Cricetulus griseus: one gene and its partner. The protein of the gene in region 2 interacts with the protein of the main gene of each other region in a pairwise test. Links are inferred from orthologs where the notes say so. Each region holds a gene or a part of one and is shown on either strand. Other genes may lie near its edges. The genes, in order: Spart and Smurf2.

The links.
Region 1: the proteins of Smurf2 (region 2) and Spart interact in a two-hybrid assay, tested with the Homo sapiens proteins (2 studies listed by BioGRID and IntAct). The link is inferred for Cricetulus griseus from reciprocal best matches to the Homo sapiens genes SMURF2 and SPART.

Annotation. Positions count from the first base shown.
Region 1 is NW_023276806.1:96,037,563-96,054,072, reverse strand, and holds the start of Spart (spartin), read left to right. Parts: upstream 1-6,417; 5' UTR 6,418-6,536; intron 6,537-9,725; 5' UTR 9,726-9,802; intron 9,803-9,870; exon of another isoform or gene 9,871-10,382; intron 10,383-11,149; 5' UTR 11,150-11,151; coding exon 11,152-11,964; intron 11,965-14,897; coding exon 14,898-15,095; intron 15,096-16,510. UniProt on the Homo sapiens protein: Lipophagy receptor that plays an important role in lipid droplet (LD) turnover in motor neurons.
Region 2 is NC_048600.1:119,820,710-119,837,235, forward strand, and holds the start of Smurf2 (E3 ubiquitin-protein ligase SMURF2), read right to left. Parts: upstream 9,648-16,526; 5' UTR 9,633-9,647; coding exon 9,533-9,632; intron 489-9,532; coding exon 450-488; intron 1-449. UniProt on the Homo sapiens protein: E3 ubiquitin-protein ligase which accepts ubiquitin from an E2 ubiquitin-conjugating enzyme in the form of a thioester and then directly transfers the ubiquitin to targeted substrates.

The DNA of each region.
Region 1 (16,510 bases), on a different chromosome or scaffold from region 2:
GTATACATATGGTGCGCAGACATACATGCAGTCAAACACTCATACACATAAAATAAAAATAAATCTTAAAAAAATATTGTAATAATTAGTTGTAATCCCAGCACTTAGAGGTGAGAAGGGGGTTTGAAGCCAGCCTACATAGCAAAACCTTGACTCATCAAAATCAAACCAAATCAGGCAAAAATTGAGATGATTTTTAAAACAGTAGAGATACTTAGTAAAGTTTAAAAAAGTTTTCTGTTTTCTATCAGAGTAAAGAGGGATTTTGACAGTTGCAAAGGGATTTTAAATATAACCACAGTTATTGCTCCTGAACACTGTGGACCAGTCTGTGGAGCTACAAGGCAGAACCACACAGAAGTACTGAGTATGCAAGTTCACAGGGTTCCATCTAATTTATATCCTGGTGGAATTTACACAGAACAGCAGTTTCTTCTGCTGGGGCTTTTAGGAACCGTCTAGGTTCTGTCATTCAGAATCTGAGTCTTGTGGCAAGTTTAGCAGTCACCTATAAAGACACAAATTCTTTCCACTCATTCCCACAGCATTTGTGTTGATGCAGCTGGCACTGACTCCTCAGAAGACAGGGATGGAAACCCTGTATCCTGGTTTGTGGTTATGTGGCATTGAGTGTTGAAATGGACATGGGTAAATCACAAGTCAGCTCCAGCTCCATGTCAGAATGTGTGGAGGTTTTAACATCACCTTACAAAAAATTAGAATCACGTGAGTAGGGAGCCTCACTGGGGCTCATTTTCTCATATGCAGGACCTTCCATCCCTGTCAGGAAATACCTGATGTCACACAGTCATAAACCTAAAAGACCGTCCTAACACCTTTCCCTCTTCTGTGTCCAAGCCTGCTCCAATGAGTCAGCTGGGTTACCTGAGTAGGGTCATGAGGATTGAGAAAAGGCAGATAAAAGAAACAGGGACAGAAACACAGGATAGATTCGGGAGGACTGCCCAGTTAATACTTTTCAGCACACCGGACAGCCCCGAGTTTAATTTAGACCCTGCTTATATACAGACTATAGGCAAAGCAGAACAAAGAGCGGCATAGTCAATTAACCAGCTCCCTGCACTGTCCTTTAATGAGGAGCAGCCAAGCTCACTACCTATCGTGTGGGTCCTGCTAGCAGCAAGCAGCTTCATTCCCTATCTCTCTATGCCTTTCAGCTAGCATCAGAAGCTTGTTAGTTAGATAATATGATCTTTTCCCTGGGCTTCATCAGAACTTTTTCATGGCTCTCAGGGAGACTGGAGCTAGCAAACTTGAACTCTAATGTCTTATTAGCCAGAATAGACTCCAGATGGAAACTGAGTCACTTGTGGGCTCCCACACCTCTGTCCTCCCTGCATCCCAACTCCAGCAGCCTTATTCTAGTAGTCATAAGACCCATCACTCTGGGTCTGCCAATTTATCTATTTTCCTAAAGAAAAATAAAAACAGAAAATCCAAAATTGTAACATTGAGGGGGGCGGGGCAATGTGTCTAAGTGATCACAGTGTCAAATGGCTTCCATTTATTTAGCAGCAGATTAATTTTAATTTTTGCATATAGGTGTTTTCCCTGCATGTATGTTCATGCATCACATGTGTGCATTGCTTGAAGAGGCCAAAAGAGGCCATCAGATCGCCTGGAACTGGAGTTACAGATGATCATGAGATGCCATGTGGGTGCTAGAAATTGAACCCAGACTCTCTTCAAGAGCAGCCAGTGCTTTCAACTGCTGAGCCATCTCTCAACCCCCTCAAAGAGGTTTGTTAAAACAAAACAAAACAAAAACACAGCTTTGTGTATATACTATGCCAGTCATTCCGTTATGCATACAGACAGGAAGCAGTGTTTAGCTATCATTGCCATGTTTTAGCAGTGAGAAAATGGAGGTGCAACTGATCAGAGTAAACTGGCCCATGGTCCCAGAGGTTAGCCGCAGACTCGGAGTTTCAGTGTGGGTGCTGGGCTTCAGGGTCTGTGCTCTGGCACAGAATGCTTAGCAATCTGTTCCCTCCACCCAGAGTCAGAGCTTTGCATATATTATCATATTTAATCCCGAGCATAAGCCTTTGAAGAGATCACTGCTATCCCAATTCTACACATGAGGAAATGAAGTTTTGACACTAGTAAGTAGGTTGTCTAAGTTCGAGCTGGAGGTTGGCAAGAGGGCAAAGATTCAAATACAGGTTCTTCTGACAGCCCATGCTATTAAATATGTCTGTTTTAGAGCCAACCTAAGGAGGCCACCTCCTCTACCTTGGCAACATTACTTTCTTTACAAAGATCTTTCTGGTTTTCATAAAATATATCTCCTCTTGGGGTAAAGAACACCAGGCATGGTCAAGGTTTAAAATCACACACTCCAGTTTAAACTGTAGTTAGTACTAGATACAAGACCTTGGCCACATTTTCTGTCAACAAACCTCATTGCACATTGTTTGGATGGGATTCAAGGATGATGCATAGAAACCATTCGTGCTGTGTGCATGGTGGTTAGTGCAGCACAAATTCCCAAAGAGTAACAGGTCTGTAAAGGGTGGAAATCTGGCCCTGGCAGGCCATTGCTGGCGTCTGGAATCCTCTATAAAAACCTTTGGGATTTTCATCTTTTTGTCAGGGGACAGTCACCTGTTTGGCCCATGAGAAATTATAAAATTAAAAGGTACTTATTTTTATTTCACATGTATGGGTTTTTTGCCTGGATATATGTACATGCACCTCATATGTGCAGTACCCATGGAGGTCAGAAGAGGTTATGGGATCCCCTGAATCAGGAGTTAGAGATTGGTTGTGAGCCACCAAGAGTAAGCTGGGAACTGAACATAGGTCCGCTACAAGAGCAGCCAGTGCTCTTAAACACAGCTGTCTCTCAAACCCCGGGAGTATGAAATAAAAGTCAGACACCTCTGCTTGGCTTGGGAAAACAGTATTGGTCCAAATTTAGTTTTTTAGAAAGTTGGTCTTGCTGGGTTGCAAAAGGCCCTGTAACTAATTAACCAATTGATCTGTAACTGGATAGTTAAACTGTAACCAATTGACTGGTTGACTGAGTGGAACTCATTCCATAGCTCTAGGCTGCCTTTTCTTTTTCTGTAAGTGCCTTCAGATCATGTTGGATTTCCCAGAAACTGCTGTAGCTCTTGCTTCCCTCAGCAGCTTGTTTTGCTCAAATAAACACTATTGAATTTAATTGGTCTCAACAACTTTCCGTTTTGTAACCCTCATTAGGAAACTTTGTAAGGCTTCCAGATTTAAGGCTTACTTAAATAAGTAAAATCCATCTCCTTTAGTGTTGGTTGTCAAGACTATTTACAGAATTTAGGAAAATTTGTTTTAGCTTCATAATTTAATATTGATAATCTTGGGTTATTAATGTGTGTGGGGGGGATGTGAATTGCAGAGACTGGAGGAGGACACTTAGAGTCCTGCTCTGTGATTCTACAACATTATTGAGACAGGGTTTCTCACTGAGCCTAGAGTGAGACAGTCTTAGCAAATCCACACAAGCCTCCTGTCATCCATTGGGTCACAGTGCTGTGTCATGGCCATTATTAGCTTATTATATCAATGCTGGGGATTAGAACCATGTCTTCATGTTTGTTCAGCGAATGCCTTTAGCCACTGAGGCATCTCCTCACTTACAAAATTGAAGACTACAAACAGAGGGTTTGACAAGGTGTTGATGAAAAAAAAAAAGGCCTCTGCTTATATTTTTCTGGACTAATTTTCTTTAGACTGCTTTTTGGTCCCGTGCAGTCCATTCCTTACCTCTGCTCCACCCACATGTTGCTGAATGTTGTACAGGTTAGGCATCCCTAATCAGGGAGACTGGAATGATCCAGGATTGGTAAGTGATTAGTACCATGGTGCAAAGGGTAAACTTCTTCATTTGATAAGTGGCAGTCAAGATGTAAACACACTAAAACTGCATAAAATTGCCTTCAGCCTGTGTGTGTAAGTTATACATAAAACATAAATTAATTTTGTTTAAATTTAGGTCTCTTCATCTCCATAATACCTTATCATATCTGTACAAGTATTCTGAATTTTAAAATATATGAAACCTGAGGTATTTCTGCTCTCATGCATTTTGGATGAGAGATACTTGACTTGCAAGATCTATTCTGAAAGAGCGGTGTGGCTCCTGAACAGTGTCCGTATATCAGGGTTACACAGGGTCAGTTGAGCCTGCAGTTGGTAGTGAGGATAGACCTGGAAGTCAGTGTTTCACCACTATGGCTAAAATAGCGTAGTTATACACAGAAGCCATAGTGAACATAAATTTATCTCAAAAACAAACTAACAAAAAAACAAAGACTAAACATATTTAACTTAAGTTCTTGTCCAGATCCCCGAATACCCACATCTGTTTTTGACATTGAGGACAAGACAGGAAGTCAGATTCGAAGTTAGTGGTTTTAACCTGGAAGTGCCCCTGGATTTTACCAAAATACATATGACCACAGAGCTCATATTGGGAGCTGGCTTAGAAGGAGCCTGTGCAAAGTAGGACCCTCATGGGTAGCCAAGTAATACGTATCATGCTGACCATTTAAAATAGGAAGGCAATATTGTTGGAGCTATCACACTGATCAAAGTGGATTAGGATAAAGCCTCCAATGAAAACTTTACCCCAATTTTGGATTTGCTACACATTTTTCATTGAAGCCATTAAAATACAGGATACTGGAATTTTCTTTGGGGGGGCTCTGTAAAAAAATTGGTATTTTTTAAAAAAAAATTTTAAGTCTCTACAAATTTCTTAAGCACATGCAGTGGATGAAGAAACATCCGTTTCAAAAAATCTAAAAACTCAGTGAGAACAGCAGAAGGTTTTGAAATTTGAATCCAGTCTTTCTCTTCCTCCTTCTTTCTGCCTTTCTTTCTGTTTCCCCATCTCCCTCTCTCATGACAGGTCACTGGGATGGAAACCACCCCAGACTTTTTTGGCCAAAAACAGTCTCCGTGGCCAGTAGTTGGTGAGCTAGCCCCACCCAGCATCTCTCCTCCTACCACTCCTACGTGTTGCTGAAGGTAGGGTGTTATGAGGATGGTGGCAAATACGGTGGGTGCTTCCTCCTTCTAAATACCACTAGAGGGTATTTAGACATTAAATTGAACATGGCATACTGGAAATACCAGGTCACAACCACTCCAAACTGTCAATCTTTGTAAAACCATTTTGAAGTAGTTCCTAGAAACCGAGTAAGTGAATAAATATAATTAGTTGGTAGCAAATAGTTTTTCAGTCAAATGATTCAATTTTTTTATTGCCTGAAGAAATGGACTTATTGCATCAACACAGTGTGGATATGGCATTGTAAAGTGATTTGGAGCATATAATTTGAAAGCAGTTCAATGAATTGAGGAAGGATGCGGTTATAAAATCTGCCTGATTCATCTAAATAAAACAAACAGGAGTGTGTCCTAGTTTCATCTGTTGCTGTGAGAAAACATTTCATCAAAAAAGCAACTTGTAGGAGAAAGGGATTTGGTTTAGCTCACTATTCTAGGTTAACAGTTCATTGTGGTGAGGAAGTGAGCAGGAACCTCAAACAGCTAGGCATATTCCATCTACGTTATAGAGCAGAGAGAAAAGAATGAATGCATACATACAAGCATGCTCACTTGACTGCTTGCTTGGGCTCAGCACAATTTTTCTCCACCCTTTCAGGACTCCCTGCCTAGGGAATGGTGCTGCCCACAGTGGGCCCGCATACATACACATCAACTTAACACAGACCATCCCCCATTGAGAGTCTGTCTAGGTGACTACAGGTGATGTCAAGAGAGTAAAAGGAGTTTTATAATACCCATTCAACTATTTGGATCAAGACAAATGAGTACTTGTTGGCACAGTTCTAAGGGTAGATTTGATGTGCTGTTTTTGGTTGCTTACAATTCCCACCAGTGATGCAGGAGGGCTTCGAACCATCTTGCCAAACCTGTTACTGCCTATGTTTTGATTACAGCCATTCTAAGGAAACAGAAGTCACACCTCATTCTGATGTAAGCCTGAAGACTTATGGTATTGACCATCTTCTGATGCTGTTTCTGGTGGTCTGAATATCTTGTCTGAAGAAATCGTTACTCAAACCCTTTATTCACTTTCAATTTTTTGCTTTTATAAAGCATTGAGGTATGTTCTTTATGCATTATAGATTCAAGTAAGAAATAATGACCTCTTCTTCACTGCTGAACCATCTCTCCATTCCCCGTCCTAGTTTTTCTCTGTGTCACAACAGACTTAACTCTTTGGATGACAGGTCAGGTAGGGTCCCAGGCTCCAGTCAACATTAGTTCTCTACGTCCTCAATGCTCGACCCAGGGCGCCCCCTGGCGGTCAGAAGCTGTCATCGCCCGTGGCTGTGCCGGTCCCTTCAGCGGCCCCAGGGCGGCCGGTAGGGAGTGCGCAGGCGCGGTCCGACGTGGCCCGGGCCTGGCTGGGACCGGAGTGTGTCGGGCGTGTACGGCGCTCTCTCAGTGGGCTCCCGGGCTCGGAGCGGACCGCTGGCCTCCGGTGCGCTTTCTGGAAGGTCAGAGTGGGCAAAAGCTCAGCTCGGCGCGGGTGTGGTGACGCGTGGGCGGGCCCGGACACAGAGGGCGTCACTCGGGGCTTTGTGAGCCAGACTAACCCGGGGTACGCCGCGGGCTGTGGGGGGCTGCGGCCCGCGCCACGCCGGCATCTTGCAGGGAGCTCTTCTGCCGCAGAAGTTTCCAGAAGTCCTGCAGAGGGTATTCCAGCTAGTATTGAAGGAGCCTTCGCCCTCCCTGCACCCTCCAGAGTGCTGGCCCCGGGAGTGGCGCTCAGGTCTTAGATCCTCCCACCCCAGGACGCCGCGCATCCCAGTGCGGGTCTTCCCAGCCCTGGTACTCGCTTGTTCCCTGTGAGTCCTTCCATACCTGGTCCCTGCGGATTCCTAATCTGAGTCCTCCCATCCCTGATCCCTCCCTATTCATCCCTGTGTGCGTCCTCCACGGTTCTCTTTCCAGACCCCACTGGCTTTCTCGCTCCCCAGGGCCTACAGCTTGCCCATGGGTGGGCAGCCAGCTCCAGGAGCCACAGCACTGGGAATGAATGGCGTGGGGGTTTGCTCATTGGAATAGACTGGTTACTGGCATTCAGCGTCTCTGAGGACCCCTGCGGCCTAACTTCATATCTGGAAAAAGTTTTCTCTGGGAATGCGCACGGTTTTGTGACGCGGCATTATTGCGTTAGTGTATGGCTGGCTCCGTTACTCCCATGGCTGTGTTATTTCTTGATGGTCCTCGAGGTTTGCCTTGTTGTATTATACACTTAACGATTTTGCCTTCTAATTTTTCCTTTTTTTTTTTTTAAATCTCGATAAAATGACCCTCGGATATCTAAGAAGTTAGCAACTATCTTAAAATTTACAGAAGCAATTAGGCGAATAATAAGTCAGTAGAAGAGTACTCCTAGTTCCTAGGGAACTGCTCTTGGTCCGTGCTCTTTTCTGACCGTCTTAATCGATGGTCGTGGAGGACTTGTTTGAAACAGGAAACCTCTGTACTAATGTGGAATGTGGTTTGCTGCCCATGCGTGGTGCTTTCTGAAACATACAGTTCTCTAGCAAGCCAGAATTGGCTAGAATGGTACAGGAGTCGAATAGAAACCCACCCGGAGTTTTAGTTCCCCATGTTCCCTACCAGGATAGGAGTAAGTGATGTAGTTTTTGGATCTTAGTTCAGTCTGCTGACTGTAGCTAATCATGGAATGTTGTACACATCAGTGGGACTGAATTTCAGCTGTCTCATTTTTTAAATGTCATATATCTGGGGTTTTGAGTAAGCTAATTAGCTTTATTTCATCATTCCATATTTCATTTTTTAAAGAATCAGAATAATGGGGCTGGTGAGATGGCTCAACCCTGGAATAGGTACTTCACTTGCAGAAGACCCAAGTTCAGTTCCCAGGGCCCATATCTGTGTTATAACTGCCTCTTATTCCAGCTTCAGGGGATCCAATGTCTCTTGGTATCTATACTCCAGTGCACATAGCTGCCCCTCCCCACATGTGCAGAATTAAGCAGAATTAAAAATAATAAAAACAAACCTTTAAAAGACTAGTATAGTTCAAAAGTCAGACTGCACTATCACTTTGTGCCCTGTAAATGTCTGTATGTAACTTGCCGGTATATATTTTAAATAACAAACTCTTCCCTTTCCCCCTTTTTTTTTTAACAGACAAGGCATGCTGGCTTTAGAACTTCTGTTGCTAGCTGTGTTTCCCTTGAGCACCATTGTTTGCTACCTTTTCTGTCATAGAATGGAAGCCAGTTTCCAAGTATTTTGAAACAGAATTTTACTTGTGCTAGTACAAAGTGAACCACAGACACACATGCATATAGCTGTGTTTGAAATAGGTGCATCTGAAATTTTTTATTAGAATGTTTAAACAAGCTGATGGCAAAGTTTAAAGAGCTATGCCTGAGGAGGACCTGAGTTCAGATCCCCCTCTTCCCCCCCCAAAAAAAAACTGTAAAACTGTAATCTCAGCCCTCCTACTGGGAGATGGAAGGCAGAGGAAAGAGACTTCCCAGAAACTAGCCTTGTCTATGGAGCTGAGAAAACAAACAAACCCCAAAACCAAAAACAAAACCTGTCTTCTTAGAGTGAACAACACCCAGTGTTGTCATCTGACCTCCCTAGGCCCTGGGGCACATGTCTGCCAACTTTTCACCTGCAGATTTGTTCACACAAGGATAAGAAAAGAAAAATGTTTAAAAGTCCACCATTGTTATCTAGAATCGGGTATTGGTTCATGATTTGATAATTTGAATATCAAGCTAGTGAAGCACTGTTTAATACTTCAGACTGACATTCCAAAGGCTTTTCTTTTCCAAACTTTGAGAATTAAAGCATATGAAATCATTAACAACTTTTCAATCTTCTCAAGACCTACAGTAATCATTTTCCTTGAGAATATGACTGGACAGTGCTTGGTTCACTGTTTCTTCTAAGCACAGGAGCCCAGCTGGCTGCCCCGAAACCACACCCAGCCCAGCATAGATAGCCATGAAAGCAGCCCAGCACTATGTAGATGGTAGATGATGCTTTTGGAAGGTTGTACACTTCTGAGTCCATGCCTCCTTGGGCCCCAAGAAAAATGAACTATGGAATGTTTGTCCTGTGGCTTCTGGGAGGAGAAAGTGGTTGGGATCTATTGAAGCCTGTGGCATTATGATGACATAGCAGGATATAATTCCAGGGAAAGTGCAGGGTTAATTTCAGTAGTGACACTGGGATAGGGCAAATACCCGTTTGTATGTGGCCACTTGTATGTGGTATTTTCTGAATTGGAGGCTGTGTGTGTTCTGTCCACTACCATGAAGTTGCTGTGATTGGGCCAGCTATTGGCCTGTCTGATTTTCAGTTCTGAGAAGTCTGACTATTAAAGTCTGTGGCATCTTCACTGTGTAGACAGCTATGGAGATATTCTTCTGTCTCTTGATTTTTCTTCCTGTCCTGAGAAGCTGTACAGAGAGCACAGTGCTAAGCACGGGCACATGTGGGTGTTGAGCGTTTGCTGTAGAGTATATTGGACTTGACATACACTTTGAAGTACAGCAAAGGCTGTCTTTGGAAGATATAACACAAAGAAAAGTACTCCACAAATCATTTTTATACATGTCAGAATAATACTTTGGTTGTATTAGATAAAAGCTATCATTGAAATTTCACCTGTTTTCTTTTACTTTTGTTAGTGGTTCCTGGAAAATAAAAATTAATTTTGTAATCCTTCTGGACAAGGCTGCTGCAAGGCTTGTATTTATTTTGTAAAGTAAGTAACTCACCTTTCACCATGTACATAAAGAATTAAATATCTTTGAAAGCCAGCCTCTCTCTTTCCAAAGGCAGCTTAGATTGGTTTTCTGACCCAATTCTTGGTGTTTCCGTATCTCTCAGCAGTATAATAACATGGCTACTTTTTGTTTTACAGTTAAAGTCCCACTGAAGAGGTTTCAGCTCCTTCATCCTGACACACAAACTTTCCATCCACCCATCTTCCCATTCTCTCAGTCCAGTTTGCTGCAGTTTTCAATGTTATGACACGAAGAAAAACAGAATATGCCCTGATTACTTCATGGTTTTTGTTTGGCATGTTCTATCTGGAGTTACTAATTATCTTGATTTTTATCTCTGCAATTTTTCATTTTTACTAATTAAATCCTGAATTTTCCCAGGGTTGTATAAATCTTTCCTAAAACCTAGAAACACACCAGACATTGTCAGTTTTTATTTCCTGGATACTTACTGAAGTGTCTTCCAGTCTGGATGTCACTCTGGAACCAACCTGGGAATCCCATCTTCAGCCCTGGGATTCCACTCACCGAGTGCAGTGTGCAAATAACTGTCCCCAGGTTGGCCTCTCACCCTGTGCTTTAATGTCCCCCTGAACCTGCTTTCCAGCTCTGTCAGCTCTGTTTAAACTCAGGAATCTGTGCTTCCTCTTTGGGATTTATCTGCTCTCAGTGAATTACTCCCTTTACTCTTTCATCCGTATTTTCTCTATTCCACTTTTTAGAGCATTTTATGGTTCACATGGGGCCCTCTGGACAAAGTCCTAATTTCATTCTTGTTTCCCGTTGCTCATCTTTTTATTTCATTGCTCTCCATTCTGGGCATTTTCTCTAACTAACTTTTTCTCTCTCCACCGAGTTTACTTTCCAGCTGTTTTATGTGTAGTTGTTAAAAGCTCGTTTTTTTGAGGGGGGTGTCCTTTTGGGTATATGCATATCTTTTATCTTACGGATATTTTCCCCTAAGAGGTGAGCTGTAGGTAGTGGTGCATCACCTTGTTTTTAACTTTTGAGATAGGATCTGTAGCTGACCAAGTAGACTACAAAGCCTGTCAGTGAGCTCCAGGGATCTACCTCCCCCGCCCTGGGGTTAGTCCCCTGGGGCTGAACTCTGACCCACTTCTCCAGCCTTTACAGTATTTTAGGACCACCAAGAACATTCATTTATCAACTATGAAGTACTTGCTGAAGGCTCTCTCTGAAGGATTGGGAGCAGGACAGAGATCAGTGAGGCAGACCCTGTCCTTGAAATATATTCACGTAGGAAACAGGGCTAAGTACACAAAACACTAACTGGGTAATGGCAGGTGATGTTTCTTGTCTTGCAGAGATGGAGCAAGAGCCAGACAATGGAGAACCCGCTGAGATTAAGATCCTCAAGGAAGCATACGAGAAGGCCTTTTTGTTTGTTAATAAAGGACTGAACACGGATGAGTTAGGGCAGAAGGAGGAAGCAAAGAACTACTACAAGCAAGGAATAGGACACCTGCTTAGGGGCATCAGTATCATGGCTGCAGAGCCAGGGTGCACAGGCCCCGCGTGGGAGTCAGCCAGGCAGATGCAACAGAAAATGAAGGAAACACTTCAGAACGTCCGCACCAGGCTAGAGATTCTAGAGAAGGGCCTTGCCACATCTCTGCGGAATGATCTTCAGGATGTGCCTAAGTTATACCCAGAGTTCCCTCCTAAGGATACATGTAAGAAGTCCCCAGAGCCAGATTCGGATAGTTCAGCCCCCCAGCATGCTGAAGTAGATGGGAGTGCCTCTGCTGCAGGTGCCGCAAGCGCTGGGCCAAGTGCTGCGCTCTCTGCTGGGCCCCTACCCAGCTGTCCCACCGAAGCGCCCCCAGCCTACACCCTCCAGGCTGCCGAGGGTCACTACACTGTTTCCTATGGAACAGACTCTGGGGAGTTTTCCTCCGTGGGAGAAGACTTCTATAGGAACCATTCCCAGCCGCCCCCTCTCGAGACCTTGGGGCTCGATGCAGACGAGTTGATTTTGATACCGAACGGAGTGCAGATCTTTTTTGTAAACCCTGCAGGAGAGGTTAGCGCTCCCTCATACCCCGGATACCTGCGCATCGTGAGGTTCTTGGATAATTCTCTGGATACGGTTCTGAACCGCCCTCCTGGGTTTCTCCAGGTAAGCTCTTTGAAGCAACGTGCAAGCATAAGCCAAGAAACAGGTAGATTATCTCATTTTTTGTTGTTGTTGTTGATGTTTGTACCGCACAGGGTAAGAGCTAAAGGAAACGCATTTCTACTGAGTTCTGATACATCCATGTTTAGTTTGCTGGGATTTCTTCTGTTTTTAATGTTAGAAAGCTGGTTTGGATTTTATTTGTGGTTGGTTTTAGGACCTAAGAGAGATTTTTTTTTTAATTTTTATCTGAAGAAGACTTGTAGTTACTTAAATTTCAAAAGGTATTTATGGGAATCATGAGACTGAATATCAAGACCCACGGGGGGGGGGGGTGTGAACTGGCCTAGAACCACTCAGCCAGGGGCAGTGTTGCCCCTTGAGGGATCATTTTTAACAGTGTCTCAGAGTGTTTTCCTTACAGCTGAAGGGTGGTGGTTACCCGGTGTATCACAGCAACCAGTGAAACTGCTCAGTGGCCACACAGTACAGCCCATCAGGAAAAAATTGTCCATCCCTAAACCTCAGTCAAATGGAGGTTGAGAAGCCCTGGCCTCCGGGGGCTGAAATGCAAATAGGTTGACCAGAATGGTCCAAGAGTAAAAACTAACGAGAAGAAGTAACGTGTGTCAGGGCTTTTCTGGGGGCTTAGTGGTGTCTGCTCAGGTTCAGTCCAGCAACAATCTGCTGTGAGAAGGTTGCATGTAGGTGCCAGGAGATGCGCTCTTGAAAACTGGGGCACAGTATACATTCATTAGGTTTGTGTGGAAGAGAGATCACTGTTTAAACAAAGCTATTGCTTGTGCCCAGCCAGAGTCAGATAAGGTAATTTAGCTAGGCACTGGCTGTCTACAATTTTCATGCTACTTTGCCCTTGTTCTTATGGAAGTCATTTAACAACAGTTGGAAGCTAATCAGATGTGGAAACAGATTCTTGGGGCACAGTTGAAAGATTGATTACTGGACAAGAAGAATTGACTCAGTTCTCTCACGGAAGAAGCATTAGGGTTAAAAAAGAGCAAGCTGGTGACTGCGGTTAGGGGAGGGGTCGCAGAGAGTTTCTGCTGGTCTGGTTAACAGTGTTGCATAGTCACTAGACCTAAGAGATCTCTGGGTCCTTGACTCGGGAGGTGCAGGAAGAGAGCATCAGAAAGATGGCCCTTGGCTGCTGGATCTCAGATACGAAGATGCTCTCACTCCACCAGCACTTACTTTATCTTGTCCTATTTGATTTAATTTGGTTCTTAATGTTTTACATACCTTGTGTTTGGGTACTAAATAAAAAGTAGAAGTGCACCCCACATCAGCTGCCATATTAGCTATTTGTTTGTAGCAGTGTTCTGGAGTGTCTAATGAATGTATTTATCCTAAAAAACAAAAACAAACAAAAAACAGGTAGTAACACAGCTGTCTATTAGAATTTAGGTAAAATCGCCTATGCTCTAAAAATCATTATTAATTAGGAAAAGTAATTTTTTTAAAAGATTTCTGAGTTCCCTGGCATAACTTCATACTTTAGAAAACATTGTAGTTAGCTTTGTTCTAAACTACATGAATTTTACTATAGTAAAAATTGATGGCTTTTGAGATAGAGAAGAAAATTCATTTAAAAAAAGGGGGGGGGGGGCTGAAAATGTTTTTCAGGCCCTTTCCAGGAGTCAGCCTTGAGCAGTGTGGTCTTTGCACATTGTCTTCCTCTTCTGTTCAGAAGGGGGCGATGTGTCCAGTTCCCTTTGTTTCTGTAGATTGATCAGACACCTTTGGGTGTCTTCATGGTGGATGGTAGTCTAAGGATGGGACAGTTATACTTCATTTGCTAGAGAGTGTAATACAAGAGAAAGGAATACATTCAGGAATTGTTTGGATAGCCAGGATAATATGAGCTTAAGTCTGTGTGTTGGGACAAGCTGACCTCCCCAGGTGGTAGTACAGAATCATTTGGCTTTAGTGTCCCAGTCCCCAGTGACATACAGTGTTCTGCTCTGTGTGTGAAATGTCAGGTTCCCTGGGCACTTGTCAAAGCAAAACCTAAGTAACAACTCTATTTTTGACACAAAGTACATGCTCAGGTGCAAGCTGTACTTTCTAGTGGTCAGTGCTGAGAACCTTAGTGACCTGGCTGTGTCTCACCATTTTCACAATGGAAACAACCTAATTGTTCATAGGGATAAAAAAAAAATGTGGTGTGTGTATAGGTAGGATACTGTGCACCACAAATGCCCTGGAGGTCATTTTGTTAAGTGAAAATAGCCAGACACAGAGGGTCAAGTACCACATGATCGGAAGACTGAGAGTGGAGTGATGGTTACTAAAAGCCATGCATGTGGGGAAAGTAGATGGGGGAGAGGAAAGGGTTGGTCAGTGGGTGCTGAATAAGGAATGACCAGCTGTGCCTGTATAGGGTGTAGGAGAAATGCTGTGCTTTTAGAAGAGATTTGAGTTTTCACTGTGAAGAAATAATGGGTTTCTGAGGATGTGATACATTTAACTTCACCAAAACATTACTGGTTACTCTGTTAGCATGTACAGCTTTATAGTTTTATTTACCAGTTCACAGTGAAAAGGACTAGCCAGATTGATAGAATGCTGTGAGGATTAAAGGTATATCAGATACTGTACTAGAAAATTATTTCGTGCTATAAAGGGATCTAGTTAGAATAATCAGCTCTTGGTTTACATTTTATCTAAAGCTAGCATCATCTTTACTCAAATATAGGAGCCCTTAAGTAACCCCACTAGCTGTAAGACTATATGAGTGGAACATTTGCAGCTGTTTGTAATGCAGGAAGGTCAAGGTAGAGGATGGTTTATTTAAGTTGGGGTTACTGATGGTCTATAAAACCATCAAATGCATCAAACTCTGACAGATTTGCTTTTACTGTAACAATCTTTTGGAGACCCATTCGCTGATGGAGTTTTCTTCTTGACTCTTTCAGGTGTGTGACTGGTTGTACCCTCTAGTTCCTGATAGGTCACCAGTTCTGAAGTGCACTGTGGGAGCCTATATGTTTCCAGACACCATGTTACAAGCTGCGGGGTGCTTTGTAGGGGTTGTTCTGTCATCTGAGCTCCCAGAAGATGACAGGGAGCTGTTTGAAGATCTGTTGAGGCAGATGTCTGACCTTCGGCTCCAGGTAACCCAAATCTTAGGTAAACTGACTTTAACTTGAGCACCAAAGATGTGATTTCAAAGACCAGTAACATGCTTCAGGGAGATTTTTCTTCTTCTTCATGACATAGAGACAAAAGTCGTCTGCTGTTGGTTGTTCAGATTATGGGCACTGGAGTTAAATTCACTGTGTGGTAGCTGTTAGCCTCAGCTGTTACCAACCTGCTCTGCCTGTAGTTTTCTCAATGTAACACTGGGTCAGGGATAATGTGCACGTCACTGGGCAGTGGTGGGAACTGAAGCTCTCATCGAAATCTAGCCGTGGCCCTGCCCAGTGAACGGTGCCTATTTTACTACTATTTACAGTGAGGTTGGCTTAAGCTGTAAAATTCTGAGGATAGTTCTGCTTTAGTAGATTTGGACATGTCAGGTGTATGAATGGTATTTCAAGAGAGATTTTGGTGGACACAATGTTTTTTATTCTCATGGTGAATGAAGGTCAAATAAAAAGTGATTTGGTCATGTGCATGTTAATTTTTTGTCCCCAGAGGAGGAAGAATTTATTCAGTTCATGCTTTCAAGAGTAGTTTTAAATGCCGTGAGGCTGACAAAGAAACAACCATGCTCACTGCAGTAACTTGTAGGTGCTCACAGGCCTAGTACAGGACTCCTTTGGCCTCACCTCTGTGGGCCTTCGCTGTCTGGCTTTAGGAAAGAAATTAAGTAGACTCCAGGGTTGCAGGATGCTGCTGTATTTAATTTTATGCTTTGGCTCTATTTTATTTTTAGTTTCTGTGCTGTTGTAGAATGTCAGTTGTAAACTAGAAGTATTGGCTCTGATTTTTACATATAAACATTTGGCTCATTCAGCAGAGTATGTACCACCACAGTACCTGTGGCATTAGATGCAGACTCTTGGCTCCTTCCAACAGTATAGTGCAGTTAAAAATGAGCTTTGTTCATTCCTAGCCCTTGAGCACATTCTCATCTTGCTGTGTCTCCTCAGATTTATTATTGTATTAATTAAATCCAAAAGTAGCAGTATCGATTTTAAAGGTAACCTACATGAACAACTGCTAGTGGTTGTCTTTTATACCTCTTCTTTTGAACTTCACTGTCAGCCATATTGTGTAACTCAAAGAACTCAAGAGGTTTAAGGTTTGGTAAGGAAGTGAAACAGAAGTTTAGATAGAAGAAAACAAGATTTAGGGCTGTGGCTCAGAGGGCAGAGCACCTGCCCTACAAGGAGGAAGAGTGGATCCCAGAGTGGATCCAGCTAAAAGCTGCACACAGTAGCACTGGCATCTGTAATCCCAGCACAGCCCTGTCAAGCTAGCAGGGCAGAGGCAGCAAGATCTCCAGGAATCCAAGATATTCCTGGCCAAATAGCATCCAAGAGACCTCTCAAAACAACAGTGGTTTGAAGGTGAGGACCAACAT
Region 2 (16,526 bases):
AGAAAACTGCATTTAATTGGCAAATAGACTACATATGTGGAACCAATGCCTGCTCTGGAGACTGGCAGTAGTTTCTTTTCTACAACTCTGGAAACTCCAAGCAGACTCAATTTTCTACCTCCCAATAAATCCTGAATGCATGAGCGAATTTTCCTTAAAATGTTAAAGTAGAAGAGTATCAAAATATTTCTTAAACCTTTTCTACAAACCTAAACACCTGCCTTTATATACCTGCATACACACATTTGTATAAATGTGTAGAAATGGATAAAGAAAAGGGGTAAAGCAAAATCCCCAAATCCTCTAGATAAGTCTGGGGCCAAATGACTTGTAATTATAGCACTCATAACAGTCTGTTGTTGAATCCCTAAACCAGGCAGTTCTGAAAATACAACTCCCCAAAAATCTACACAGGATATACAGATTTGTAGTAAAGTTAATTTACTTACGGAAAAAATCCTTTTTCACCAAGTTTTTTGCACAGAGTACTGTAAAGAAACAAAAACAAATACATAGGAAATTAAATTAAAATGGTAAGACTTCATTGCTTCGTTTTTAAACATCGAAAACAGCTGTGGATAATTAAACTCTAACTACAGTGAGGTATGAAATACAATCATAAACTTTGAAGAGTCTAGCCAACAAAGTTGAGTATCAATGATTGCAACCTTAGCAATAATCACTAGTAACAGTAGAGGAACAAAATTATAAATCTGATCATTTTATAACAGGGATCCAATTATCTTCCACCAAGACCTATTCTTAAGAGGGAAATTTTTCATAAAGGACTAGAGTGTGGTGATATTTTGTTTATGATCTAACAAATAAAGCTTGCCTAAAGATTAGAGTGCAAAGCTAGCCATACTAGGTAGCCAAAGAGGTCTGGCAGTGGTGGCACACACCTTTAATCCCAACACTCAGGAGGCAGAGGCAGAGACAGAGGCAGATGGATCTGTTAGTTCAAGGCCGCCCTGGGCTACCCAAAATTGATCCAGTCTAAAGGAGAAACAGAGCTCACACAAAGGTGATCCCAGCACTTGGAGTGACACGCCTTCAATCCCAGTACTAAGGAGGTGGAGACAGGAAGGGCTATGTCTAGGCAGAGAAAGGACTAAGGTGGGAGGAGACAAGAGATCATAGCAGTCTGAGGCATCAGTCTGAAACAGTCTGAGGAAGCAGTCTTGAGAGGCAGTGCAGTCTGAGGACAGGATCTCCCCTTGGGTCTGCGTATTGGTAGAGGTTAAGAACTCTCTAGTGGCTGGCTGCTTTGCTTCTCTGTTCTTCAGCTTTCACCTCCTGATAGCTGACTCCAAGTTTTTTGGTTTTTTTGTTTGTTTGGTTTTGGTTTTTCGAGACAGGGTTTCTCTGTGTAGCTTTGGAGCTTATCCTGGCACTCGCTCTGGAGACCAGGCTGGCCTCGAACTCACAGAGATCCGCCTGCCTCTGCCTCCCGAGTACTGGGATTAAAGGCGTGCGCCACCAACACCCGGCTCCAAGTTTTATTATTAAATACCAATCAGAATTTGTGCTACACTAGAGAGATGGCTCAGTGGTTTAGAGTACTTTCACTTTCAGAGGACCACAGTTCAGTTTTCAGCACCCAGGTCAGACTGCTCACAAATGCCTGTAACTTGATTTCAGGGGATCCAATGCTCTGCTCTCTTCTGGACTCTAATCAGAGGTGAATGTGTGAACACATATGTATACATGCGCGCGCGCGCGCACACACACACACACACACACACACACACACACTTCATGCACGAATACACACAAATAAAAATGAATTAAAAATAAAAAGATCTATTTTTGAAGAAATCCGGTGGTAATGGGAAAATGGCTCAAAGGAGAAGATACATAAATTCAGGTTGACATATCTATTTAAGGATGAAATAATTTTCTAAAGAAGAGGAACATAAATAAAAATTTCCTGATATAATTTGATATTTTTTTAAAAAAACTAACATTCTGTGCTCTGTAGTCAAGAGTTTTCTGTTCTGCCAAGTCCCACTGCCCTTCAGTCCCAAATGAATATACTGATGCTTATATTAGTTAGAAACTGTTTGGCCAATGGCTAAGGCTTCTTACTGGATAGCTCTCTATTAATTATTAACCCATTCTTATTAATCTAAGTATTTCCACATGGTCTTATCCTACCAGAGAATGTTCCAGCATGTTACTCTTTCAGCAGCTACATGGTGTCTTTGTCACCACCTCTCCCCAGAATTCTGGTAGCCCTGTCTATACTTCCTACCTGGCTATTAAGAGAAACATATACAGAAGGACATTCCCCCATCAGTGCTCTTATCTAAATGACACAGAAACCTTACAGGAGAGACCTGCCTTCCCTCAAATACCTCAGTGACAAGATGGGTCACCCATATGCTGGCTAGACTGCACATGCCAGACTGACAGCCTTAGTCTGATCCCCAGGACCAACATGGTAGAAGAAGAGGGGCCAACTCCTGAAAGTTGTCTCTTTGACCTCCATACCCCACCCCAACACACACTCATCAACAAATATAATCTTAATGTAAATTAAAAAACTAAATATCTCAAATCTGAGTGCCTTGTAATGTGAATATATGCACAACCTTCTGAATCTACCAAAAATCATCAAATTCAACACTTTAAAAATTTATTTATGGACTGGAGAGATGGCTCAGCAGTTAAGAGCACTCACTAACTGCTCTTCCAGAGGTCCTGAATTCAATTCCCAGCAACCACATGGTGGCTCATAACCATCTATAATAGGATCTGATGTCCTCTTCTGGCACGCAAGTATACAAGCAGAGCACTCATACATAAAATAAAAAAAAATTAATTTTATTTTAATGTTATGTGTAAGAGTGTTTCTATGCATCAATATATGAACACACACATGTGTGCCTGGTGTCCACAGAGGCCAGAAGAGAGCATCAGATCCCCTGGAATTGGAGTTCTGGACTGCTGCAAGCCACTATGTAGGTATTGGGAATTGTAGAGAAGTCAGTGCTCTTAGCCACTGAACCATTTCTCCAGCCTTTATAAACGTCTTTAATTCAAACTTAACAAGGAGCCAGGAGGTGGTGGCAGGTGCCTTTAATTCCAGCACTTGAGAGGGAGAGGCAGTTGGATCGCTGTGAGTTTGAGCCCAACCTGATCTACAGAGCAAATTCCAGAACAGCCTGGGCTACACAAAGAAACCCTGCCTTGAAAAACAAACAAAAACCTTAACAAGGAAAGAGAAAAATAAAAAGTTTCATATACGTATAATTAAATATATAAAATATGAATAGTTTTTGGTTAATCCCTATGTACTTCTCAGTTTTAAAGGTTTATCATAACAACTTAAGTTTGACATATAAAAATCATTTAGTATAAATCTAAGAGGGGGCTGGAGAGATGGCTCAGAGGTTAAGAGCACTGGCTGCTCTTCCAGAGGTCCTGAGTTCAATTCCCAGCAACCACATGGTGGCTCACAACCATCAGTAATGAGATCTTGTGCCCTCTTCTAGCCTGCAGGTTTACATGTAGACATAACACTATATATATAACAAATAAATGAACCTTTAAAAATAAATAAATCAATCTAAGAGGCCTAACTATAGCTAATTACTTTTGAATAAATTAAACAACATCAGTGTAGGGATAAAGGTACTGACAATCACAATACCCTAAATCCCTAGGCTGCATCTTAGAAGCAAATTTTTATTTGTGGATTTCTGAGACAAGGTCTCAGTATGTAGCCCCAGCTGGCCTGTAACTTGCTATGTGGACAAGGCTGGCCTTGAATTTACAGAGATTAAAGGTGTGTGCTACCACACCTGGCAGTTTTGTTTATAAAAACAAAAATTCAAACATGAAAACTAAGACCATAAGTGAAATTACTAAGTCATAAAATGGATTCGGAAAAATTTCCCAAACCTTTATCAGCACAGAAATCAAGCCAGTAGGATCAATACATATATAACACATGCAAATCTTGAGTTATGGCCTTTAATAGTAATAACAAGATGATTTTTAAATCGCCATTCATTCTCTGATTCATGACTTCAGAGAAACAGACAATCTGAGAATTCCCCTAACTAACTTCCTGCCATAAACTTATGTTTTCATACTTCTACTTACAAAGTCTACACTGTTGTACAAGACTCTCTCTCCACCTGTACTCTGGATATCACTTCCCACATCTACTCATGGACCTTGAGGGCCACCACAGACATGTGGCCTTGTCTCCTCTCACTACTCAAGCTTCCCTCCATCTGTCTCTGCTCTTTCATTAGGTAACTTCAAGTAACTATAATCTGGCTCCACTTCTTTACTGTTCCTGCCCATCAATGCCTCAGCCCCACCCCCCACCCCCCACTATTTAGCTTTTTCCCTCATCACAGCCCTACATTACTTATCCAAAGCCCAGGGACTTAATTATCAAATCCAGCCAGCAGATACTCTGCATTCTTTGTTGCATTTACTCCCTCGGGGAAATTTTCCACGACTGACTGACTACTCACTCTTTTGGAAGCTATCTCTTCTTTTGATTCTATTTAACAGCATATTCTCAAATGGCATAAAACTCACTCTAAGACTTTCTTGCCATATTTGGTGTTCCATCCATGAAAGCTGAGGTTCTTTAAGGTATTGCCCTTCTTTTACTGTATATTCTTTTACTGTATAACTATGGGTTAGTGTAGTCCCAAAGTTGGGCATGGTGGTGAATGCCTTTGATGCCCAGACTTGAAGGCAGAAGCAGGTATATCTCTATGAGTTTGAGGCCAGCCAGCTCCACATAGAGAGCTCTAGGACAGCCAGAGCTAACAGAGAAATCCTGTTTCAAAAAAAAATAAAATAGATGCTCATCTTAGTTAACCTTGAAATTCTATGTAATCTGCTATTGATATTCTTATTTTTCTATAGAAAGAGCTCATACCTCTAAGAGGGCTCATAGTTTAGCAGAGTAATAAAACTCTTCCATCTCAGTAAATAAACATAAAAAGCCATTTTTCATATATTCTCCTGGGTCTTTGTCATTTACTTTATAGTTCTGATAACATCTAACCTTTAAAACTGAACACCTAGATCTCCAAGCCTCAGGTCCACAAAAGAAAGAATGCTCCTAAGCAAATCATATACCCCAAACTATTCCTCCACCAGTTTACTTTAAACAAGGCTGAGGTGTACTTCAGAAGTACTTGTTTAGCATGCACAAGACCACAGGTCCATTCCCCTGCCCAGAAAAGAGGGGCAGCTGGAGGGGATGGGTACTTTTTTTTTAAGATTTTGTTTATTTATTATGTATACAACATTCTGCTTCCATGTATATCTGCACACCAGAGGAGGGTACCAGGGATGGTTGTGAGCCACCATGTGGTTGCTGGGAACTGAACTCAGGACCCCTGGAAGAGCAGCTAGTGCTCTCAACCTCTGAGCCATCTCTCCAGCCCCAGGATGGGTATTTTCAACCAACAATATCACCTACATGAGAAGCTCTGGGATACCCTCATCTGTCTACTTCTCTTCAGCCAATTCAGCCACAGCAATTACTACAAGCTTCTAATTGGGTCTCTGTCTCAAGCCTCACCAGCTTCCAGGTGCCAACACAGGACACTCTATGATCTTTTCCAAACACCTGATTACGACCTTTCCTTTTCTTCTCCATTCTTAAAGGTCTCAGATCAAACATATTTTCTCTTCAAGGCCTTGGCTACTGCTTACCTACTCCCTGACTTCATTCTCATCAATACAACTCCCAGTTAAGTTCCCTACTATAAGATCTGGACTAATTCTCAAAGGTATTCTTCCATCTCTCACTTACCACACATTTCATATGCCCTCCCTCCACAAAACATCTGTCCCAAGCTTCTTCACCTACCCATTTTTTGCAATCTCAAAAGGAAGAAAACATTTTTGAATGAAACAGAACTCAAAGTGTTGCAAAACTTCACTAAAATGGTGATTATTTTTCTTTAAACAATAAAACATAAATTAAAAACTAGGTATGGTGGCACATTCCTTTGATCACAGCACTTGGGAGGCAGAGGCAGGCAGATCTAAGTGAGTTTGAGGTCAGCCTGGTCTACAAATCAAGTTCCAGGAAAGCCAGGACTGTGAGAAAAAAAACTGAGAGCTACAGAGAGATGGCTTATCAGTTAAGAGCACTGGCTGGCTGTTCTTGCAAAGGTTCGACTCCCTGCACCCACAAAGCAGTCCACAACCACCTGTAACTCCAGTTCCAAGTACCCAGTGTGATATCTGGCCTCCACAGTCACCAGGCACACACATGGTACACCAACATACATGCAGGCAAAATATTCATACACATAAAATAAAAATTTAAAATGATACTGAAAACTCAAAAGAATAAAAACTGGACACATTCTAAATTTGTGAAGAAATAATTCAGAAACTACAGGAAAGTTGGGCGTGCTAGTAAACACCTGTAATCCCAGCACTCAAGGAGGCTGGTGGGAAAGAGACTGGAGACAAACTGACTGACTGACTGACTGACTGAATAGAGGAAGAAAAGAAAGGAAAGAAGAGAAATCAGAGTACTAGAAGAAACAAGATTTAAAGCAAGAAACATCAGGACTGTCAAATGATTATTTTGTGTGCATATAGATGGAGGTCAGAGGTTGAAGTGAGGTATTTACCTCATTATCCACCTTATTTTTTGGTGGACATGGAGCACACTTATGTGGCTAGACTAGCTGACACCAGTAAGCCCTAGTATTTCTAGGGCTTAGTTCCCAGAACTAAGATTACAGGTTAGTGTGCTGTGCCTGTTTTTTGTTGTTGTTTTTTTTTTTTTTTTTTTTCCCCTAAAGTGCCAGGAATCCAAACTCTGATTATTATGCTGACATAGCAAGCACTTACCAACTTTAGCCTTCTCCTCAGCCCCAGATTATTATTCCTGGGACTAAATCTCATCAGCTTCAAATAGCTTTAAAATGTTTTTTATTTATTTGTTTGTGTATTGTGTGTCTGCATGAGTTTATGGCATCACATGCAATAGGTGTCCATGGAGGCCTAAAGAGTGTTGGATCCATGGGAGCTCAAGATACATGCAATCTTGGGCCACCAAATGTGGGTACTAGGAACTAGATTCAGGTCCTCAGGACTCACTAGTAACAGAAGAGCCATCCCTCCAGCCCCCAACTGATTTTTTTTTTAAGATTTTATTTATTTATTATGTATACAGTCTTCTGCCTGCATGCCATCATAGAGCACCAGATCTCATTCAAGGTGGTTGTGAGCCACCATGTGGTTGCTGGGAATTGAACTCAGGACCTCTTGAAAAGCAGTCAGTGCTCTTAACCGATAAGCCATCTCTCCAGCCCCCCCCAACTGATTTTTTGTAAGTGCTTTTTATATATACTGTTTAATGCTTTCAAAGCAACATCTTATATTTGTAACTCTGAAAGGGAGGATTATCAATATGTGATCTGAAAATGGTAATTTTATTCACTTGTATAAGTAAATTATTTTCATACTCTCTAGTCTTCATTGTACTGCTCTTGTTTCTTGAAAATCTACTTCAGAGATTAGAACCACAGCTCTCTGGCTTTTTCCATCTTCAGTACATTAATTATGGGAGAATTACTCCATAACCGTTCAAAGAATTCATGAATTTCAATATGACAAACTCCTGATTATGCAACTATTATTATGCAACCTTTGCCTAAGGAAGTATGTTTCTGAGGAATTTGTATATATGTTTTTAATCTATCATTTTTTGGTAACAGAACTATGTAAAATATAACCAAGACTGTTTAATTCTTGTTTTCTAAATGTTTCTCAAGAGAGACATTTACACACAATGTTAAGAGTGACATAGCAGGAGAGGGCCAATAGTTCAGACTTACTCCTATCCATCTTTAACATTTAGTAAACTTCTTATTGGAATAATATAAACAAAGGACACAGAAATGCTGATTGATTAAATTTTCACTAATTTTAATTAACACATTGCACTAGCTTCAGATATTATGCAATTATGTGCTAATTTTAATCAATGATAGCTACAAATGTAGCATATTAATACTATAGTACTACCACTGAAGTCCATTAGAGACAATGTCTCTAATGAGCCTAGAGCTGCATACAGATTAAATCTGCTATAGTACTTTGATAATGTTTAATATTCATCTCAAATTCCTCAAAGTGTTTCTATTCTTAAATCTGTACTTCCCAAAGTTGTTCTAGCTAGTCCATCTACCTCCTCTAAAGAAATAATAAGGTAACCAAATTAAGGAAAGTTGTATGATAGTTAATCGCCATTGTGAATTTTATTGGGTTTAGAGTTACCTAGGAGTAGGTGGGGCACACCTGTATATGTTTGTGAGATGGTTTCTAGAGAGGACTCATTAAGGAGAAAGATCAAACTAGATGTGGCTGGCATCAATCCATGAGCTTAGAACACTGGCGGTAAAAAAGAAAAGCCACCAAAATGCCCCGTCCCTGTGCTCTGCTTCCTGGCCCACCATGATGTGAGCTTCTCTGCTGTACTAAGTCCTCATACAATGTTGAGACTGACATCTCAGAAACCAAGAGCCAAAATAATCCTTCCTCCTTTAAGTTGCCCCTGCCCCAGCTATGATTTAAGTAACTAATAGAATAGTATGCTAATAATGTCTCTACATTTCACATGGATAGGGGTATAACCTTCTTGATATGCTTATAGAGAACAGAATAAACCAATTAATAATCAATTCTTTTTTACTGAGACAGTCTCACTGAGTTGCCTTGGCTGGCCTCTAACTCCTCATACAAACTAGGCTGGCCTCAAACTCAGAGATCTACCTGCCTCTGCCTCCTGAGTACTAACATTAAAGGCATGCGCCACAAGGCCTAGTTTCATTCTTTCATTTGACATTTCCTGAGTACTCACTTTATGCCAAGTACTATCATAGGTTCTGCAGATAAAGATACAACTCAATTATCATACCATAAATACCTTTTTTTTTTTGAGGGAGAAATTAGAATCCTTTTATGTAACCCTGCTGTGCTCAAAATCAAGATCTAGGGATTGGAGAAATGAACCAGCGGATAAGTGCACCTCTCTGGTCCTGCAGAGCACCAGAATTCAGTTCCCAGCATCATCCACAAGGTGCCTCATAACTACTTGAACTCCAGTTCCAGGAAATCTGATGCTCTTTTCTGACCTCTCTAGGCTTTCTACATATACACACTATACATACATACCTACACACACACACACACACACACACACACACACACACACACACACACTCAACACATGCACACATATACATAAAGTAAAATAAATATTTTTTTTATAAACCAAGATCCAGGTTTTTATAAACCTGCTTCAAATTCCTGAGTGCTGGGATCATAGGAATAGGCCACTACATTGGCTACAAATGTCTTCTGTTATTTTTGCAAGAAATGTTTTTAAATTTTTTCCAAAAATAACAACAAAAATCTTTTTATATGTATTTGAAGTAGTAACTGGAAAAAACACTTGTGGAAGGGCGGCTACCACACTGTGGGTTAAGTCACTAGTTTCTTTTTTTATTAGAAAGAAGTTGCCTACCTGCAACAAGCATCTGTAATAGTATCAGTGCAATGCCCAGCGGTAGTAACAGAATGGTAACAGAATGGAATGCCCTGCTGTTCTCGTAAGTTGTACTCATAATGAATGGTTGTCTGTGCTTAATTTCAATAAAGCTCCCAACTGCTCATTATATCCTTGCCAAAAATTCCCCTTCCTCCTCCAGACTGCAGTTGCATTCCAATTACAATGCACACTGGAATGAAGCTGTTCAAAGGGGGTAGAGGGAGATAGTCAGATATCCTTCTTTTCTTTGCTCCCAAACAAACAAACTTTCACAATACTGTTCCTGTAACTCAAAAGTTACAGAGAATATTTTAGCCAACATATTTTTCTGCACGTTCTTCAAACTTACGTTGGCACTGTAAAAAGTTAACATGGAAGTCCAGTTTAACACCTCTAAATGAAATCCCAACAAGCTGGCCCAGGCTCCAAAAAATATGCTTCTGTGCACCATTCCTTACCACTGACACATGACAGCAGCAGTTTAGAATTGCCACATGTTATTACAGGAGCTTAGACTATAGCTCTATTGACAGAAGCCTGTGTAGCACATTCAGGGCCCTGGATTCCATCCCCAGCACCACATAAACGAGGTGCGGTAGTATATGTCTATCCACAGAACTAGAGAGACCAAGACTGAAGGAACTGAAGTTTAAGTCTACATAAAAAGTTTGGGGTAACATGGTCTACATAAGGCCCTATCTCTAAAAAAAGAAAAAGATAATATAGGACTTTGTAATAAGCAAAAGTATCAAATACAAATCTAAACACATACATACATTTTGGAGAACTACTTGAAAGTATTTCACTACACATAATTTCTTAGATTTATTCATTTTCATTATGTGTATATGTGCTATACATGTGTGCATGCAAGTGCATGCAGAGTTATAGAAGAGGGCATTGGATTCTGCTGGAGATGAAGTTACACGTCCTTTTGAGTCTCCCAGTTTGGACCACACTGGAGTCCTTGAAAAGAGCATCAAGTGCTCTTAACCACTGAATCACCTCTCCAGCCACTCAGCTATGAATTTCAAACCAGTTTATTTTGTTGGTGGTGGTTTTATGTTTTGTTTTGTTTTGTTTTTTTAAGACAGGGTTTCTCTGTGTGGCCCTGGCTGTCCTGGAACTCACTTTGTAGACCAGGTTGACCTGAAACTCACAGAGAGCTGCCTGCCTCTGCATCCAGAGTGCTGGCATTAAAGGCATGAGCCATTACCACCCAGCTTTAAATCATTATTTCTATGAATTATTTTCTCCAACTTAAAAATGAAAATATATATGTACACTGTTTTAGTTACATCAATTCCCTTGTATTCTGTGTAGGGGCCAAACACTGTTCTATCAGTTACTATTTGTGCTGGCTAGTTTTATATAAACTTGCCACAAGCTAAAGTCATCACAGAGTAGGAACCTCAATTAAGAAACTGCCTTCAACTGGGAGCACACCTTTAATTCCAGCACTCAGGAGGCAGCCTGGTCTACAAAGCAAGTTCCAGGACAGCCAGAATTATAGAGAATAACCCTGTTTTGAAAGGGGGTGGGAGAAAAGGGAGAGGGGAAAGAGGGGGGAGGGAGGGAAAGAAAAGCAAAAAAAAAAAAAAAAAAAAAGCCTCCAGAAGAGAGGGCTGCAGGCAAGCTTGTAAGGTATTTTCTTAATTCGTGATTGATGGGGGAGGGCACAATCCATTGTGGGTGGGACCACCCCCGGGCTGGTGGTCATGAGGAGCAAGCCAGTAAGCAGCATCCTTCCAAGGCCTCTGCATCATTTCCTGCCTCCATGTCCCTGCCCTCGCTTGAGTTCCTGTCCTGACTTCCTTTGATGATGAATTAAGATGTGGAAGCATATGACAAATAAACCCTTTTCTCCCCAAGTTGCTTTGGTCATGGTGTTTCATCACAGCAACCGTAACCCTAAGACACTATTCCAAACTCAACCACTTCCTCTGCTAGAAGTCTTCCTTCAAACAGACCTACTCATAAATGATGGCTGTCCCAGAGGTTGGAAAAGCATACTTAGGGGTTGGGAGAGGACAGTTCAGTGGCTAAGAACACTGGCTGTTCTTCCAGAGAACCTGGATTTAGTTCCTAGCACTAACATGGCAGCTAACTCCAATTCCAGAAAGCCTGACACCCTCCTTTGGCATCCTCAGGCACTGGGCACACATATGGTACACAGACATATGCAGACAAAATACATACATAGAATAAAAATAAATAAATAAATAAATCTAAAACTGTTTTGACAATGTCAGAACTGCATTTGAGACTGGTGCTACCATTTATTAGTGTGTAATCCGAAACACTATTTAATGAAGCTACGCCCTGAGACTTCATCTGAAAATAAGACTTCTATAAGTTACCTCATAGTGTTTTGAAGACTAAACAAACTAAACTACACAAAACAATCAGATTGGTACCTAATTTATAATCTATCAAGTGCTCAGCACATATTAGCTATTTTTGTTCTTTCTACTCTAAAATTTCCAGTGAAATCTGTTTACTACCAAGAAAAGAGTCTTCACATAATCTGACAAGAGGTTTATCTTAGTTCAGGCTGCCAAAACAAATACTGTAGCCTGGGTGGCTTAAACAACAAACACTATTTCTCAAAATTCTGGAAGATGTAAAGTCCAGGATCAATTGCCAGCAGGCTGAGTGTCTGATGAGAACCTTCTTCCCAGATTGTACACAGGCATGTTCTTGCTGCATCCCTGCAAAGCAAAGAAAACCTTCTTTTGTATCTATTACTAATCCTATTCATGCACGTTCTACACCTATCGACCTAATTCCCTACCGAAGGCTCCATCTACAGACAGCAACCCTTAGCAATTAAAGTTAACATATGAACTGGTGTGTGTGGGGGGGGGGGTACTCCACAGCAGAGTGTATGCACTCAGTTAAGTTTTCCAATAAATACTGACAAGTAAATCCCCATCTATATGTCTGGCTTCACTCCTCAAGCAAGCTCCAAGCCAATTTCAACTACCAAACATACACTCCTTACTTAGACATTTCACCAGCCCTTCAAATTTTATGTATTCAAGATGGAAATCATCAGTTTCCCCAGTAAGCCCCCTTTTTCCTTCTGACCTCTCAGTTCTATAAACTGCATGACATGTTTTCAAACACCCAGAAAGCAAATGCCTAGCCCTCTATTTAAAGCAGTTGACAAATTGCATTATCACTTATCTATTTCCATTTTCAATGTTCACATGTGTATGATATATCTAGCATACTTTAAAATGTGTCCAAAAACTTCCTCACAAAATATAGATTGAGCCTACAAACATGTGAGTTACTTTTTCTTATACACACAAAAAGAAACGAGTTGTGAGACAGCAAGATGGTCCAGTGGGTAAAGGCACTTATTACCAGGCCTGACAACCTGAATTCAATCCCCAGAAGCCAGCCACATTGTGGACGGGGTGGATAGAGAGAACTGACTCCCAAAAGTTGTCCTCTGACTGACACACTAGAAGTGGCATACTTGCACCCTGACACACACACACCCCAAACAAACAAACCCCACAAATACACGTGATAAAAAGCTGATAGGAGTTATAACTCATCCCACTTTGTCAAATAATAAATTAAAAATGTAAATCATTTTTCTGTCTCTTTAAAAATGTCAGTGATTCCACCCTTCTTTCTCATATTATTTTCTCACTAGACAGCCTCATTTCTTTGGCTCTCCTAAGTAAGATAGAAGATCTTTCTACCTTGGCATCATCCATGACACTCTTACCATCTCAAATGTGATTACTCCAACTAACCCTAAAAGTGGTTGAGAGTACCTTGTCCACTCTATGAAACTTCAATGTAAACCTTTCCTGACTGTCTCTGTCTCTGTTTCATGTTTGTCTGTCCTTCCCTTATTCCCTCCCTCCCCTAACCCTCGGATTCTAGTTCAATTTTCAACTTTTAATCAAGTATCACAGCGACTTCCTTAATCCAAAAAGATATGCCCTAGGAAACAGCATGGGTGGCCCATGGCCATCAAGGATAAGAAACAGTATGTATCTAAAGGAAGTCAAATACAATAATCTTGAGAATGTACAACTCTTCTAGGAAAGCTAACTCTTCTTTTTAAATATTTTATTTTGAATTACATGTCTGTGTGTGGGCTTGTGTATATGGGTGCAGCTGCTCACAGAGGTAAGGAGAGCTGGAGTTACAGGTGGCTGTGAAATGCCTGACATGGGTGCTGGGAACCAAACTCAGAACCTCTCCAAGAGCACATCATTCTTTATCTACTGCTGACTCTATTCTTACTTATTTTTATTTTATGTGCATTGGTGCTTTGCCTGCATGTATATCTCTGTGTGAATGTGTCATATCTTAGAGTTACACATAGTTGTGAGCTGCCATGTGGCTGCGGGGAACTGAACCTGGGTCCTATAGAAGAACAGCCAGTGCTCTTAAGCACCAAGCTATCTCTCCAGCCCTACTGACTCTATTCTTTTTCAGTTTGATTTTTACTTGTCCTTTCATGTGAGCCTCTAAGACCACTTTGACTCCACTTATTTCCAAGCTCCTTCTCACATCAACACATCAGTACTGTTCACGTGACATTTTTAATCATGCCTCCTGTCCCACAAAGCTGTTATTCTTTAATGTGACTGACATATATTGCCTACAGGTTGTTAAATAATCTTTTAAAAAGATTTGTTTATATGCGTTTGTTTGTTTATTATGTATGCCAGCACACCAGAAGAGGGCACCAGATCTCATTACACAGATGGTTGTGTGCCACCATGTAATTGCTGGGAATTAACTCAGAACCTCTGGAAGAGCAGCCAATGCTCTCAACCACTGAGTCATCTCTCAGCCCTGTTACATAATTTCAAACATAATATATATTCACATATTTATCAAATCAATAAAAATCCTAAGAAAATCACTGACAAAGCATTAGGATTAGGAAACTAGTAAGTAAATAATGAAATTTTCTCCTTGATTCTTAACCTAATAAAAATTGTTGTTCAAATCAAGATAGTCCCAAAACTACTTGTATTTGCTTAGCAAACTCTTTCAACCTTACTACCTACTGGAGTCCTTACAAATAACAGCCCTCACAGCCTATTCTCTAATGCACAGTAGAAAGGGATACTGTTGCACAAAAGTCTCTACATCTTGCTTCTACAACAATGTAAACAGGATAAACTTTCTGAATGTAAAAACTGCAGTTCTTTAGTACCTGATAATCTCCTAATAGAGCAAATCACCAAACAGATTCCATTGATAAATGCAGGCCACAAGAAAACTACACGGTAAAAAGAACTACAAGGGCCAGAAAGACTTCTCAGTAAGGGCTGGAGAGATGGCTCAGCGGTTAAGAGCACTGGCTGCTCTTCCAGAGGTCCTGAGCTCAATTCCCAACAACCACAATGTGGCTCACAACCATCTATAAGGAGATCTGGTGTCCTCTTCTGTCGTGCAGGCATACATGCAGGCAGAACACTGTATACATACTAAATAAATCTTTAAGACTGCTCAGTAAACAAAGGAGCTTACCGCACAAACCTGACCTCTCTAGCATCTGCATCCACATATCTGAATGCTGCTAATCCAGGCTTTGTAGCTGCTGACTACAGTGCAAATCTGACTAGGTGACATAATCCTAACTCAGATACACCATATCACATAAAAGTATGGACCACCAGATGCCCTAATTTCATACCATATGTATATTATAGACTACCTCCAGCCAGATCTCAACTTACCCACAATAAATGCAGGTACCACCAGGTAAGTCCACACAAAGATTTGGCTTACCCAATAAGACTCTTATCTGTAAAGAACTACCCTCTTGGGGCTGGAGAGATGGCTCAGCAGTTGAGAGGATTGGCTGCTCTTTTAGAGGACCCACATTCAATTCTCAGCACCCACACAGCAGCTCACAACTGTCTATAACTCTAGTTCCAGAGGATCTGGCATCCTCACACAGATACACATGTAAGGAAAACACCAATGCACACAAAATAAAATTTTAAGTTTTAAAAAGGAAAACTACCCTTTTCCTCCATCCTTGAGCTTAGATTCTGTGTTCTTAGATTCTCTAGGTTATGGTATGGGCAAATGCAAAAGACACAGATAATAGACTACAAGATCATCCCAACTGCTTAGTTACTCTATTCACAATTTGTCTATCAAATGACAAAGGAAACAAGGGGGGAAAAAAGCAAATCTATTAAGACCCTGATTTTTATATGCTATTATGTCCAAATTGATATATGTGTCTAATACTATAGTATAAACATACCATGGGCAATTTATAGTGTCAGAGGGTACTTTGTGGGAACTTGCAATCCCAACAAAGACCTATATCCTCCAACCCCCAGTGTCTTAGAACAAAGGAGCTAAAGCCCACAAAGCAAATCTCTGCCTTCTTAAACTAACTCACAAGGACATCAAATGCTTCATGAGTTATGGAGGTTTTTTTTGTTTTTGTTTTTTCCCTTTTTGGATTTTTGAGAGAGTTTCTATGCATGGCCCTTGATGTCCTAGAACTCACTTTATTGACCAGATGGCCTAGAACTCAGAGATCCATCTGCCTCTGCCTCCGGAGTACTGGGCTTAAAGGCATGTACCACCACTGCCCAACTAACAGAAGTCATTTCTCTGTCCTGACTTCCTGCCTTGAAAGTTCACCTTTCATGCTATCTTCTGGAATGCTACTATTCTAACTCTTCCTGCAAACACCTGATGCTTCCTACCATGAATTTCCTAGTATCTTCCTACTTCACAGTCCTAGCTCCTTGCCTGTTGTTGAGCAAAGCTAATTCAGGACAGACAGCCTCACAATTACAATTAAGGACCAAAGTCATTTTGGTTTGGTTGGTTGGTTTTTGAGACAGGTTTTGTTTAGCCTAGATTGGCCTCAAGCTCACTGTATAAATAAGGATGACTTTGAACTTCTGATCATCCTGCCTCCATCTCCCAATGTTGGTATTACAGGCACGTGTCACCA